Linked DNA regions of Schizosaccharomyces pombe. The gene in region 1 interacts genetically with each later gene. Each region holds a gene or a part of one and is shown on either strand. Other genes may lie near its edges.

Region 1 (7,116 bases):
CTAGGTTTAGCTGCCAGTACCGAAATTAATTCAATAGATTATTCGGATTCCATTTCAAGTTTTTCACCACCAACCTTTTTGGAACAACTAGTTAAAGAGGATATATTGGCATACCCTGCTTTTAGTATGTATCTGGATAATCAGGGTAATGGAAGTTTACTTTTGGGAGCCGTGGATACGTCAAAGTACCAGGGACAGTTTGTCGCTTTGAAGCAGACTAAGCTTACGCATTACGCCGTTTCCATTTACTCTGTGCAGTTCTTAAACTCTACGTTCTTTTCTAATTATTCTATCATCACTGATGCATACTTTCAAACTCGTGAAACTTATATTTATTTGCCTGCCGAATTGGCTTACAGTGTGATGGATAATGCTGGTGCCTACTTATCCGAAGGCTATTTCGCATTAAACTGTGATGAAATTGATTTGGAAGCCGCTCTGATATTTCAATTTGGATGTAATTCAACTATCAAGGTACCGATATCGTTGCTAGTGATTGGGCAAGTTTCAAACATATGTCTTTTAGGTATTCGACCTTCGACGGATAGTGAGATTGTATTAGGTTTGTTATTTTTTCGAAACGCCTACACATTTTATCATCAAAGTCAAAAAATGATTGCCATTGGGCAAGCCTTTTATAACGCAACATCCAACTTGTCCGCCATCGTGGATCAACACATTCCTGGTGCTCTAACTTGTTCGCAATATCCTACGAGTGTGGCATCTACTCAATTGGTTCAGACTAGTCACTTCACATCCACATCGTTGTCTGCTGTGAATATTTCGGAAAGCGTCGTTTATTCCTATACAAGTAGTAGTAGTATGCCCTCTTCAGCTATTCCGTCCTTCAACATCTCTTTGATTTCTCAGAATGCGGTTGCAAATGCTGGAAATTCGTTTTCTCCGTTAAGTGCTATGGTCATTATGATGATGTCTGCTGTATTTTTAGGACTCGGTATTATATAGTCGATACTGATTAATTAAATGTGTATTTTATCAATTTTACAAGTGGCTAGGGTTTACTTGGATATATTTAGCTTTCTATCATGTTAATTTTTATTGATAAAATCGTTATGAACAAGACGTAAAAAACTCCGTTTCATATGAATATGAAAAGGCGTCATCTATTTCCTTTAAATGCATTTTCTACACGTCCGAGATGAAATTTAAGTCAAATTGACAATACAATTTCCATGTTGAAAAAAATAACAATAGGCAATCCTAAAGAACAACGACAAAACGTAAAAGAAGGATAATTTTGTTCGCTCAAACTGACCGAGAAAAAGTTAAAGTGTTGATGAAGAAAGTATGAAGAAAACTATATACAAAATAAAAGTCGAAAAAAAAAAGAGATGCAACATGTTGTGAGTAAATGATCACATAAGAAGTACAGACATTACAGTAAAGTTAAACGAATCCTTAATTTAAAAAGACAAGCATCCCTCAAACTCAACTCAGACGTAACGTTCACTTGAACGATCACTCAACCCCAAAGAGGTAAGACTACGTTCGACGAAGATACCTAACTTTTTATAAGCTTGTCGAAGTACATTCGACGTCCGACGAGATGATCCAGAAGAATAAGCATCAGGGGACGAGGAAGACGGGGTTGTAATGGTAGGAAGTGTATTGTCAGCAGCGGTAAAGGAAACAAAAATACCAATAGGAACAGACCATACGCATACCCCCATAAATGAAGCAACTTGTGAAAAGGAAGCACGAGAGGTCAAAAGGCGTTGACCAACAAAATCGTAAGTGAGTCCACGAGGTTTAATAGGGAATTCATGCACCTGGAAAAAGCGGACCCATAAGATATGATTCGCGACAATAAGGAAACATGCTAGCAAAAATCTCATTCTCTTAAATGAGAAGAAAGGAAAGGTATCAAAGTTGATTTTATAAATGTAATGACTGAAAATGGAGAATGCCGAGAGCCAAAAAGGAAAACCATCAAATATAACCAAAAACACCATTACCGCCATAATAAAATAAACCAACCGACATAAAAACGCCTTTGCGAGCCTAGAGTGCTCTTCTACAAACTCTGAAATGTAATACAAAGCTGATGCGATACTCACGGTCATGCCTATGAATCCCAAAACGATACCCAAGTACGACAGAGCATTAAGGACAATCATTTTGAAAAACGCTTTTAATTATGTCGTATCTAATAATCTTAACAAATGTGATTTTCTTTGGACTTCTTCAATATAGATAAATATGTTCGGATTTGTCGAATAAATACGGTTTTAATGCACAGCACCGCTTACAAAGCTTCTGCCTAAAGGTTTTAGCAATTTCTTAAGTTGCAAGGCACAATAAAAATATCAATTTCTATATTTTGTAGTATTGGTTGGTATGGGAAGACAGCAAAACCATGGCTGGTACTCCTGAATATCACTACGACCTTAAACAGAAAGCAAACTGTATGCTAATAATTGTAAATTTGAAAGTTGAATTTTCTTATTCCAATTAAAATGATTAATATGTATACTAAGTCTGCTATTTAGAGACGAGCATAACGGTGGTTTTTAGTTTTGGTGAGTGGCAATCGTGTACCTACATTACGGTGCCTAAATGTTTAGTTATATAGATTATAAATATATTTATATAGTAAAACCTTTCAATTAATTTTTATTCTTTAACGTAGTCAGATGATAGCACGTGTACTGACTTAAGGTTTCAAAAAAACTATTAATACCCATACATATTGGTATCAAAATTAACTAAAAAATAATTTTAAATTGTTTAAATGACTTTTTATCCTTGTTAAAAATTGTTTTCGTTGACATATCTAATTTGCTGAGGGGTTAAAAAGGGCAGTCCCATCGTGTATTTGGTAGCATTTAATGGCCAACTTAACCTAACCTCAACCAAACACTTCAACTCAGAAATACAAAAAATATTATGAGCGACAATGTACAGCAACAAGTAGATTCAGTTGGTTCTGTGACTGAAAAATTGCAAAAAACAAACATCAGCAGACCTAGGAAGTATATTCCTCCTTTTGCTAGGGATAAGCCAAGCGCTGGCGCAGCTCCAGCTGTTGGCGACGATGAGTCTGTCTCATCTCGTGGCTCTTCTAGGTCTCAAACTCCTAGTGAGTTTTCCTCTAACTATGGAGGTCGCCGTGAATACAATCGTGGCGGTCATTATGGTGGTGGCGAGGGCCGCCAAAATAATTACCGTGGCGGTCGTGAAGGTGGTTACAGCAACGGCGGTGGTTATCGTAACAACCGTGGATTTGGCCAATGGAGAGATGGTCAACACGTTATCGGAGCCCGTAACACTCTTTTGGAGCGTCAATTATTTGGTGCCGTTGCTGATGGTACCAAAGTTTCAACTGGTATTAACTTCGAAAAGTATGATGACATCCCTGTTGAAGTTTCCGGTGGAGATATCGAGCCTGTTAATGAGTTCACTTCTCCTCCTTTGAACTCTCATCTTCTTCAAAACATTAAACTCTCTGGCTACACTCAGCCCACCCCAGTTCAAAAGAACTCCATTCCTATTGTCACATCCGGACGTGATTTGATGGCCTGTGCCCAAACCGGTTCCGGTAAGACTGCTGGTTTCTTATTCCCTATTCTTTCTCTTGCTTTCGATAAAGGACCTGCCGCTGTTCCTGTTGATCAGGATGCCGGTATGGGTTATCGTCCTCGCAAAGCCTATCCTACCACCCTTATTTTGGCTCCCACTCGTGAATTAGTTTGTCAAATTCATGAGGAATCTCGTAAATTCTGTTACCGTTCTTGGGTGCGTCCCTGTGCTGTTTACGGTGGTGCCGATATTCGTGCTCAAATCCGCCAAATTGACCAAGGTTGCGACTTGCTTTCTGCTACTCCTGGTCGTTTGGTTGATTTAATCGATCGTGGTCGTATTTCTTTGGCCAACATTAAGTTTTTGGTGTTGGATGAAGCTGATCGTATGCTGGATATGGGTTTCGAGCCTCAAATTCGTCACATTGTGGAAGGTGCTGACATGACAAGCGTTGAAGAACGTCAAACTCTCATGTTTTCTGCCACTTTCCCCCGTGATATCCAACTTTTAGCTCGTGACTTTTTAAAGGATTATGTCTTCTTGAGTGTTGGTCGTGTCGGTTCCACTTCGGAGAATATTACTCAAAAGGTCGTACACGTTGAAGATTCTGAAAAGCGTAGTTACTTGCTTGATATTCTTCACACCTTACCTCCTGAGGGTCTTACCTTGATCTTTGTAGAGACTAAACGCATGGCTGACACACTTACCGACTATTTGTTGAATAGCAACTTCCCCGCAACAAGCATTCACGGTGACCGTACCCAACGTGAGCGTGAGCGCGCTTTGGAATTGTTCCGCTCTGGCCGTACTTCCATTATGGTCGCTACTGCCGTCGCCAGTCGTGGTTTAGATATTCCCAATGTCACGCATGTTATTAACTACGATTTACCTACTGACATTGATGACTATGTGCATAGAATTGGTCGTACCGGTCGTGCTGGTAACACTGGTCAAGCTGTTGCGTTTTTCAACCGTAACAACAAGGGTATCGCTAAGGAATTGATTGAGTTGTTGCAAGAGGCCAATCAAGAGTGCCCCAGCTTTTTGATCGCCATGGCTCGTGAAAGCAGCTTTGGTGGTAATGGACGTGGTGGCCGTTACAGTGGTCGTGGTGGTCGTGGAGGCAATGCTTATGGTGCTCGCGACTTCCGTCGCCCTACTAATAGTAGTAGTGGTTATAGCTCTGGCCCTAGCTACTCTGGATACGGTGGCTTTGAAAGCCGTACTCCTCATCATGGTAACACTTACAACAGTGGTAGTGCTCAATCCTGGTGGTAAATTTCCTAAAAAAATATTTTTATTGGGTTACGTGCATCTGTGTTATGCACAGGCTTCTGATGATTTCCTTTAGTCAGAGGCCGAAGTATTGTGTCCATTGTTTTGCTGACATTTGCAAAGCGCGAGGATGTCAGAAAGGGCGAAATATTTGGCTTTAATTAACTGTGATTGAGTGAGTTGCACGAAACGTCTTTTGTTTAGGTCCGGTTTTTTTCATTTTTAAGCTGGGCTTGGACGGATGCTCATTGGGTGTGCTTTTTAATCGTTGCGGTTGTGGAAGCGTTATGTAAAAACGATCCGGCAAAATTTAGTATGCGGTGTTGTGTTTTATTGCATAATAAGATGAGGCGAAAGTTTCAGAAGTCAATGCGTGCATGATTTATTCACGGGACTTTTTAAATAGAATATGCATATTTGAAACATTTGCATTGACGAAATGGATGTACGAATACGACGGGCATACAAAATGACATATATTATACATATTTTATATATATCTATTGATATGTTGAAAATTTCTACAGGCTTTGAGCTCATGATTTTAAAAATCAATGATGGATCTTTTTTTACGAGTCTGTGTTTCTTTTTTTCGAGAGAACTTGGAAATAGGTTAGTGTCTCTCTTTTGTTGGATTGTGGTTCTTGGGTAATATTTCTTTAGGAAAAGGTTTACGATTCTGCAATTTGTAATAATAGGATGCGCGCTAGAGCAAATTAATAAATTTTATTGCAATAATAAACTATACACATGTTATTAGGCAAATTAGTTATTAGTAAAATTAAGGAATGTAATTAGTGATATGTACAGTCAGAAATACTAGAAATATATACGAAAGATTAAGTAACGCAGCTACAATGATCACTGATACAGAAAGTATTTAAGGGTCTAGTTGGACTAGACAATTGTTTATTTATTGTGTCGCAGTAGTCACAATCAAAAGAAATAATTAAATAAAAAATTAGAAATAAATGGTGAACCACTTGGACCTATATGCTTTGACGACATACATATTAATAAGTGAGGACAATGTCAAGGGTAACTTAAGTAAATGTTGAAGAAAAATGCTTGATGATTATGTTTTTACGTTCTCAATTAAATAAGTAACTTTTCAATTAATTGAAAAACGAATATTAATGAGTAACCATGACTAGGATTAAAAGAATAAACAACCATACTTAAACTTAGTATTCAATAGATTGTTGAGATTAAAGAGAACAAAAATTAAGGAAACAGATCACAGCACAATTTCATCAAAAAATTGCAATTTTTCTTCGTTTTTCTTTATGTTTTTATATAATATAAAAAATTGATGAAAAGCAAGTAGTCCTTCTCTTTTTTTTTTTTTAAAGAAAAACCGAAAACAAATGTAGAAAAGACAAGTTAGGAAACAGGTTTGTAAAACAAGCAAGCTAACCGAGAACAAAAAGAGACGCATTTACAAGGGATATAAATATGTACAATTGAAGGTGCGAAAATTTTTCACAAGTCCTTGCGCACTGGGAATGCGATAAAAGAAAAAAACCATAGGGAACAACCGAAGATCCAAAGTACCAACAAAACGAATGAAGCTCTTGCTCTAAACATTGTTAAGAGTTAATTTAATCCCGGAAGGAAACAAAAGCAATTAATAAGATGAAAGCGATTAGAAACATTGAGAGAGTAAAGATGAAAAGTCGACGAGAGGAAGTAGACACACGCTTTAAGCGTTGAACTAACAGCATGTGCTTTATGGGGTCGATTCTCTTTCTAGGATCTCTGTTTTCAAACTGCAACTCATCGCTGTCGCTATCATCAAAGTCTGGGAATTCATCTACTTCTGTTTGAAACCGAACATTTTTGCGGATTCGTTGTCGAGGATCGCTTTGCGAAGCAGAAATATCATAGAGGGGATTTCCCGTATACACAGGAGAGTAAGATGTTGTTGTAGGACGATACATAAAGTCAAATGATTCAAATTTAATTAGATTAAGAATGTGCAAAAGATAAATTCTATGCAAATCGGATCTTGGATATCATAGCAAAATACCGGCACGCTATCTACGTTTACCGATGGTAGTGTACACTTTTGGCTTAATTGGTTTATCAACTTTGATAAATTACATTACAATATTTGTGATACATAACGTGTACGGTATTGTTTTTCTGATACTGAACGAATTTTATGCTATAATTATGAATGATGGATTAGCAAAGTCTCATGGGTATTTTGCCTTTCAATTGCTATTTTAAAAGTAAGATTAATTGAAATTAATTGACTCTTTGTAATTCTGTATTGGTTCTTCTTAACAAAATCACTTT
Region 2 (8,650 bases), on another chromosome or scaffold:
AGTTAGTTCGACACATAATTGATAAAATGGAAAACTGGACCAACTGTTTCATACCATTAGAAAGACACAAAACATGAACTCGAGTAGAATGCTGATTGCCTAAATAGTCGATGGTGGGACCAAAAAACATAGATTCATCATCGGGATGAGCAAAGACGAAAAGGATTGATTCAACTGCTAATTTCTCTTGACCAGAAGAGGATTCATTTGCAGTGGATAATACAGCTATTGCGGTAACTAACAAAGTTGACCAAAACCAAATCATAGTGGTGCAATCTTAGTTGGAAATTTCAATAATTTTAATATGAAGAAATCTTTTTTAAACTATCAAATTAATTAAAATGAATAGATTAAAAAAAAAAAGAGATATATGGTTGCCTAGTTTGTTATAGGAGTATACAATGGACTTTTGCAAATGGATGAGGATTACATATGTCATGTTTGAACAATACTGTCAAGAACAAGTTTACACTCAACTCATACGAATTACAAAAAAGCGGATACATTACTTAGTAAATGTTTTACAGCTACATAATATATATGTTATTTCCAGACTTATATAGTTAATTACATTATTCATTACCCTGTGAACTACTATCGCTCAGTGAGACGGATAGGGAAAGAGGCAAAAAACTGTAAAAGTACTTCAAAGGATAAGGTAAAAGTAAGAGGAATATATTTACTTTGGAAAACAGAGAGGACCCAAAGAACATAATAAACTACCATAAGTTGGAGCGGAAGCTATGCATATATTTTATAGAGAACAAATATGAGTTATCAGGAATTTCGGAAAAGAGCCAGGATCCATTATATTTTTACATTCCTTTAATAGAAATAAAGGGCCAAGGGAGCCAGATGGATTGCAAAATCTATATTCATTAAGGAATTTGATTTAGCTGCGTTCTTCTCGAAATCAGAAACTGATTAGTACAATATTAAGTCTTTTATCCCACGATATACTTTTCTAATAAAATAAATATTCTTATAAAACTTTTCTAAAAGTACTGATTTTCTATAATATTATACTGATTTAAGACTTGGAAGAATTCTATATAGCGCAATAGAACGTGGTACGGCTTCTTACACTTTTATCTGCGGCGAATCAATGAGTTGACATTCAAGCTCAAAATTGCCTTATTATAAACACTTTACAATATCCATATTCAAGATGAATTCGATGTTTAGATTTTGGATTCCTAAAACCAGTATATCCATGCAACTTCGCATGCTGTCCACACAAACTCGTCAAGCTCTTGAACAGGCCGTCAAAGAGGATCCTATCGTTTTATTCATGAAAGGTACACCTACCCGCCCAATGTGTGGATTTTCATTAAAGGCGATTCAAATTCTTTCATTAGAAAACGTTGCTTCCGATAAATTAGTTACGTACAACGTTTTGAGTAATGATGAGCTACGTGAAGGTATAAAGGAGTTCAGCGACTGGCCTACGATTCCTCAACTTTATATTAACGGAGAATTCGTGGGCGGTAGTGATATCTTGGCGTCCATGCATAAATCGTAAGTAATGTTTTAAACTGTATTTTTATTATTTGGTAGAGAGACGGTGAGGATTGAGGAGGTGTCATAGGAAATGTTAAAGATGATGAAGGAGGATTCTACAACTGTTTAATCACTCTAGTTGATATTAAAGATAAAAAAACCCTGTTATATTTTCGCTCTTTCTTCAAATGAACTTTCCCTTTTAAAGCATTGGATAAAAATCAACTATTAGTGTATCAGTGTCTTTAATTCGTCGTCTATATATGCCACATTGTTCTCTCCCTCATTTTTTCTCTCATATTTAATTATTTCTCCTTGTCAACATTTCTGTATTAACAATTTGTCTGTAGAGGAGAGCTTCACAAAATTCTAAAAGAAATAAATGCTTTGGCCCCTGAACAGCCAAAGGATAGTGAAGAGGAAACTACTAAAAAGGATTGAGTCCACATTGCAAATTAATTTGCACAACGTACCACGGTCTTGTGCATTTTTTAGTTTATTGGTCAACTTGACACCACAGGCCATGTATATCAATCAGACGTTATTCAATTATCTTTTTGCTGTACGCTTGATATTCTTTAATGAAGCTTTGAAATTCTGTTTCTCCTCTTTTTTGTGTTCATGCCCTTTCATGACAAAATGTTGGAAATAATGTAAAAGAGCTCTATAAGAAAAAATAATTTTTATCGGAAGTTATTTTTTGGATCAACCTCAATATCAATTTGAAAGCGATCATGTTCATGTTCATGTCCATCCAAATGACATAGAGAATGGAAATTAGTGTCGTGATTTATGCCTTATTGTTATTCCTTGACTTTTTTTTTAAAAAAAATGTCGTAAATTAGATTTAATGTTAAAGCGCTATTGCTGAATACTGTTTTATTTTGCTTATGTTGTTGCACAGAACAATGTCTTGGTAGGTGTAATTCACAGAAAGCATTACGATTGGTTATCTGATATGATTTAAAAATTCTTCTTTGATTATATAAAGTACTGGCTTATCGACGTTACGAGACGTTTACCAAACTTTTATTAACAGATGCTTGTGTTTCTTGACAAACAACATTATTCCTTCCAAGCTCAGCATATAGCGAATTATAGTGTAACTGCGATATAAAGTATTAGCGAACTCTCCCTTTTTAATTCTATTCAAATTGCGTTAGTTTGTGTAGCATGTAATGACGGCACGCGCATAGTGAATTGTAATATACAAAACGCTACACCAAAGCGCGCGCTCTAAAACACGCCAAAACGAGGTGCACGCAACTTAGCTTGCGCGAAAGCGCGTTTCTCGCGTCGCGTCGCGTTTACTTCTTTTATATGCTTGCTATGCCTGTCTTTTGCTTTTTCACTGACACTTTGACTTGTGTTGAGTTACAAGAAAGGCTTCAAAGGCACTTGTACAAGTGTAATTTCCCTTTTACAAGACTCTACCAAAGGTTGGATCCACCTTGAAGTCCTTCTCTTGTTGTCGCTGCTTTTTGCGTTTCTTCTTTTCTCTTTGAATATTCCTTCTTTCTAATTTCTTTTTTCAAATACATGCTATAGGGATCAGTTTAGGCTCCATATACTAGGTTGAGCTGGTTTTAACTGTAAACAATAGTAAATTAAGCTTTCAGTATTTTGAGTGTCAAGCTAGTTTTTACTCCGGAGTATCTTATTTCTACTGTACTTATTTTCTTTTAATTAATTTTTTACACTTTTCAGCTGCTAAGTGTCGGTTTCTATTGTGTACTTTACCGTTTTAAGTTTCTTTGTTTTCTTTGTTCTGGTTCGCTTATTGTCCTACTCTTTTACAGGAGGCGCTTGCCAAAGACAGTCATTTCTCTTATAACAAGTACACTATATCTTATTAAAACATAATTAATCGTCCCCTTTCGATATTAGTGCAACAATTGCTATCCTACAGTCTTCCCAATTGCAATTTATTTAGCCTTTCAGCATTGCTCTCGCCCTCAAGCTGAAAAGGTTTTACTCGCTTTTCTTGCTGGAAAAATAACACCTACATTTGTTATTCTTTTAAATTCGAACTATCAAACTTATTTGCTTGTATTGTTCGTCTTAGTGCTGCTTTTTCTGATCCATCGTTTGTTTATCAAACCTTCAACTTTGCTTTTTCTAAACTAATTACAAAGAAGTGTTCTTTTTAATTCTCTTCGTTAATCATTGTCCCTTTAAACTACGCTCTTGTGCTTTATAAGAGTTAATTCTGCATACCTCAAAGAGGTAAATTCATTTTCGAATCGAACGTTAAAAAATTTATCTTTACTTTTTTTTCTTTCTCAATTTTGATTACATCTGCTTGTTTTTTTTTTTCGTTTATATCCACAACAGTAGGTTGGTTTGGTTTGTTTACACAATTCATTTGTTTATGTTTGGACGATTTCTTTCCCTTTCTTCCTATCAACAACAATAGAATAATTCGGACCCATTGATTTATTCTCATTTAAAAGAGAAACTTTAAAAATTCGCTATAAGTGCTTTCTGTTTCTCGATCGCTCAATTTCCCTAATTTATCCATCTTGTCAATTGAGATTAATTTACCAAAAACAGTTTCCTTATTTTAATAAAAAGAAGACATTTTTGGTTACAAACAATCAGATATATTTCTATACGTTGATAAAAGGGTAATTTATCAATCCATATTTCATATGGCTCTCTATTCAATTTCAAAGCCTGTTGGTTCTAAAATCAATAAGCATAGTTATCAAGATGAAAACACACTTGTTGGCAAACAAGCTTTATCAAAAGGGACTGAGAAGACAAAATTATCTACAAATTTTGAAATTAATCTGCCACGTCGAACTGTCCTATCTGATGTTTCCAATGTAGGTAAAAATAATGCTGATGAGAAGGATACGAAAAAAGCGAAAAGATCGTTCGATGAATCTAATTTATCTACAAATGAAGAAGCTGATAAACCTGTCGAATCTAAATTCGTGAAAAAGTTGAAAGTTTATAGCAAAAATGCGGATCCATCTGTAGAAACTTTACAAAAGGACAGAGTCTCTAATGTTGATGATCATTTATCCTCCAATCCTTTGATGGCTGAGGAATACGCACCCGAAATATTTGAGTACATCAGAAAGCTGGATTTAAAGTGTCTTCCCAATCCAAAATATATGGACCAACAAAAAGAATTAACCTGGAAAATGAGGGAAATTTTGAATGAATGGTTGGTGGAAATACATTCCAACTTTTGTTTAATGCCCGAAACCCTTTATTTGGCAGTCAATATAATTGATCGATTCTTGTCGCGTCGTTCATGCTCTTTGTCTAAATTTCAATTAACAGGCATTACTGCTCTTCTCATCGCTAGCAAATATGAGGAGGTTATGTGTCCTTCGATACAAAACTTTGTTTACATGACTGATGGTGCTTTTACCGTAGAAGATGTCTGTGTCGCTGAACGTTATATGTTAAATGTTCTCAATTTTGACTTGTCCTATCCAAGTCCTTTAAATTTTCTTCGCAAAATATCTCAAGCAGAAGGTTATGATGCACAAACAAGGACATTGGGGAAATACCTAACAGAAATTTATCTGTTTGACCACGATTTATTACGATATCCTATGTCTAAAATTGCTGCTGCCGCAATGTATTTGAGCCGCCGATTATTGCGTCGCGGCCCATGGACGCCAAAGTTAGTTGAAAGCTCTGGTGGGTATGAAGAGCATGAATTAAAGGAGATAGCGTATATTATGCTTCATTATCATAACAAGCCTCTAGAACACAAAGCCTTTTTCCAAAAATACTCCTCAAAAAGGTTCCTGAAGGCTAGTATTTTTGTTCATCAACTCGTCCGTCAACGATACTCAGTCAATCGTACGGACGATGATGACCTTCAATCAGAACCGTCTTCTTCTTTAACAAATGATGGTCACTAACGAACGCTCTTATAAATTTTCTTACGCAAATATTCTGTTGAATATGAGGTTGAGCTCTTCTTTTATTATTTATTATCATAACTTATTTACTTTTTAAAGAGCTTCTTTTTCTTCTTCTCTTTCTTTGAATCTTATCATCTTTATGCAAGGACTGTTTTCAAGTATGTCATCAAGCCTTTCCTCCTTGATAACTAAGTCCTTAATTATATACCATATACCCAAGTTTTATCCAAGAGTTTTAGAATTGAAAATTTTGTAGTCTACTAAACAAACCGTGTTGATGCTTAATCCTCACACATTGTCTTTTAGATGATTCCGTTGATTCTAGAGTATTCGATAATTTCATTCCTTACTTTATGTTACGTTTACATTTTTTATTTCAAAATACGTGTACGTTGTTTCCTCATATTTCTGTTAAACAACATGTTTCTAATTAATGGAGTTTTCTTTATTCATTCATAAAACTTAAAGCTCAAGCGGTATATAACAAACTGGCTAAACCATTAATAGGCAAAAACCAAGTAACTCATAAAGATAAACAAAGAAAGTAGACATAAGGAAAAAGGTAAAGCTGACTCGTTTTCTATACAAAAAGGGAATTTTTAAACCTAAGAAACAAACTTTTAATTGATAACAAATATAGAAAAAGAAGGCGATTTCCAACGAGAATAAGGAAATAAAAAAGAAAAATTCGATAATAGAATCACTGTTATTCTGTCTCATACATTCGTCTTAAATTAATGAACATTTGAGCTTTTTTTATCGAGAGCTTGGCGATTGTGAGAAATCCAAATGTCATGCCCACCTAATCGTCCGCTGGCTTCACTAACAAGTGTTGAGATAGGAATCATTAAAGCTACGCTAGTAGCTGAAGAAACAGAAGGTGAACGGATCTTCATAAATCTCTGTTTTACACGGGGACGAAGACGTTCAGGAAGCGCTTCCATCTGTTTATCAAATTTGGAGTTGTTGAGTAGGTGGCGTATCCTTCCTCCTCTAATGCGTTGAACGAAGCCAAGGGAATGACGAATAGAGTCAATAACTTCGTTGGGAGATGTGGGTTCATACGGGATAAGACTAAGGGATTCAACATCATGATCGGTTGAACGGCGCTTAGAACGGAACCTAGGATTTAGAATCCAAGAGAAAACAGTGTCAATTGTCTTAACCGGAAGGACCTTTCTTAGGAAATTGTTTGGTACACAACGAATCAAGGCTCCAAGTGGGATAGAGATAACACCAAACACGATGGAAATCGCCCATCCTTTACCATCGATTCTTTTTACGGAGAATGCGGCACCTCCGAAAAAAACAATTATAACTTGGATACCAGCAACAATAACGAAAATAGCAATAAAGAGGAAGTTATGGTTAATACGTTCAAAAATATTGAGCTTGTTATCCAATCTCCGATTGTTAATTTCGTTAAACAGCTGGAGCCAGACAAAGGTATTGAAAACAATAGTATTCATGTCCGCAGTATTGGAAGGGTAATGGAAGATACTATTACCAGCAAAGTGTAGCACCAAAGTAACAGCAAGTTGGTACATAGATTGACAAATAATCATTTTCCACATGTCAAAAGTAAAAAGCGATGCACCTGGTTTCTCAGGTTTCCTCTTTAACACTTCAGGAGTAGGAGGGTCAGTGGCAAGTGCAAGAGCAGCAAGTGTATCCATAATTAAATTAACCCACAAAAGCTGAACAGCAGTTAAAACAGAGCTTTGGTCAGTCGAGGCAACAGCAGAGATAATAGTCAAGAAAACAGCCGTAATATTCACGGTAATTTGAAATTGCAGGAATTTTTTTACAGCGTCGTTAACGGTTCTTCCCCAAGCAATTGCTTTCACAATTGACGAGAAGTTGTCGTCCATAAGGATAATATCGGACGCCTCCTTGGCAACTTCGGTTCCCGATTTACCCATTGAAAAGCCGACGTTAGCTTTTTTTAGTGCAGGCGCATCATTGGTACCATCACCTGTAACCGCTACTACGTTACCAAGCTTCTGCAGTCCTTCAATCAATAACTGTTTGTCCAAAGGAGATGAGCGTGCAAGTACATCTAATTTGGGTAAGATTTCTAAGCGTTTCTCATCAGAAAGAGATCGAAATTCCGGTCCTTCCATGGATATTCCATCCTCTGTGTAAATTCCGCACTGCGAAGCAATAGCCTTAGCAGTAACAATATTATCACCAGTAACCATACGAACAGTCACCCCTGCACCTTGGCAAACCTTTACAGCCAAAGGTACATCTGGCCGAATAGGGTCCATGATACCGAAAAATCCTAAGAAAGTCATGTCTGTAAATGCGTCTTCCCATTTCAAAGGATTAGAACTATCCTCGTCATTGGTGGGAATATCTTTGGGAGGCCAAGAGTCAAACACACGATAGCATAAACCTAAAGTACGAAGAGATCTTTTGGCATATCCAGTGATCATTTCTTTAAAATAATCTGCATGAGAATGCATATCTTCAACTTCGTCAAGGGAGCCATTGGTAATAACTGATGTAGACTGTTGCAAAACTCTTTCCGGCATACCTTTTACTACAAAGTAATACTTGTCTTTGTATTCAAATATAGCACCAGATGCTTTGCGGTCAGAGGAAAATGAGAAGAATTGCTTGATATCAACGCTTGAACGCATGCTATCGACGTTTGTAAGTCCCAGCTCTTTGACTGACATATCAAGTAATGCTGTTTCTGTCTTAGAACCTATAAACCTTGGGGTGTCAGAATTATCCTCAAATAGCTGTCGACATGTCGAATTGACAGCAATACTGTAAAGAGTTAAGTCCCGAAGTTCTGGGGAAAGGCGCTTAAAGGCGAATGCGCTAGCACCAGCGTCTTCGAACTTTGAAGAATCGGAACCCTGATCAACGTTGGTAGGAGTTTCATCATTATGATCAAAAAACAACACATCTGTGCCAAATCCACCCGCAACAACAGTCATTCGATTTTGGGTTAACGTACCAGTTTTATCCGAGCAAATGTTAGTAGCTGTTCCCATCGTTTCACAAGCTTGTAAGTGACGGACCAAGTTATTATCTTTCTGCATGCGATTTGTAGCAAAAGCCAAAGCCAAGGTAACTGCCAAAGGAAGACCTTCGGGAACGGCGACGACTAACAAAGTAACTGAGACAATGAGAATTTGCAAAAACTCTTGACCCTTGTTCTTAGAAGAGGAGTCATTGGATTTTAAGCGAACCAAAAATTCAATAAGTAGGACGATAAACAATAAAGCAGATGCAGCACCACCGAG

Evidence for each region. Genes that interact genetically often act in the same process or in processes that back each other up.
Region 2: of sum3 (region 1) and cig2, changing one suppresses a phenotype caused by changing the other (phenotypic suppression), as found in Schizosaccharomyces pombe (2 studies listed by BioGRID).

What each region holds. Positions count from the first base shown.
Region 1 is NC_003421.2:972,463-979,578, reverse strand, and holds sum3 (translation initiation RNA helicase Sum3), read left to right. Parts: upstream 1-2,865; 5' UTR 2,866-2,907; coding exon 2,908-4,818; 3' UTR 4,819-5,580; downstream 5,581-7,116. Other genes in the region: yapsin Yps1, read left to right, coding at 1-966; protein SVP26, read right to left, coding at 1,455-2,138; SPOM_SPCC1795.12C (uncharacterized protein), read right to left, coding at 6,417-6,755. UniProt on the Schizosaccharomyces pombe protein: ATP-binding RNA helicase involved in translation initiation. Remodels RNA in response to ADP and ATP concentrations by facilitating disruption, but also formation of RNA duplexes. Inactivation of ded1 blocks mitotic cell cycle progression at G1 and G2/M.
Region 2 is NC_003424.3:2,706,929-2,715,578, forward strand, and holds cig2 (G1/S-specific B-type cyclin Cig2), read left to right. Parts: upstream 1-2,853; 5' UTR 2,854-4,151; coding exon 4,152-5,387; 3' UTR 5,388-6,124; downstream 6,125-8,650. Other genes in the region: gpi12 (pig-L family GPI synthesis protein), read right to left, coding at 55-265; mitochondrial [2Fe-2S] cluster assembly and transfer glutaredoxin Grx5, read left to right, coding at 1,169-1,518, 1,851-1,941; P2 type calcium transporting P-type ATPase Pmc1, read right to left, coding at 6,125-8,650. UniProt on the Schizosaccharomyces pombe protein: Essential for the control of the cell cycle at the G2/M and G1/S (mitosis) transition. Interacts with the cdc2 protein kinase to form MPF. Interaction with res2 promotes the phosphorylation of res1 and inhibits MBF-dependent gene transcription.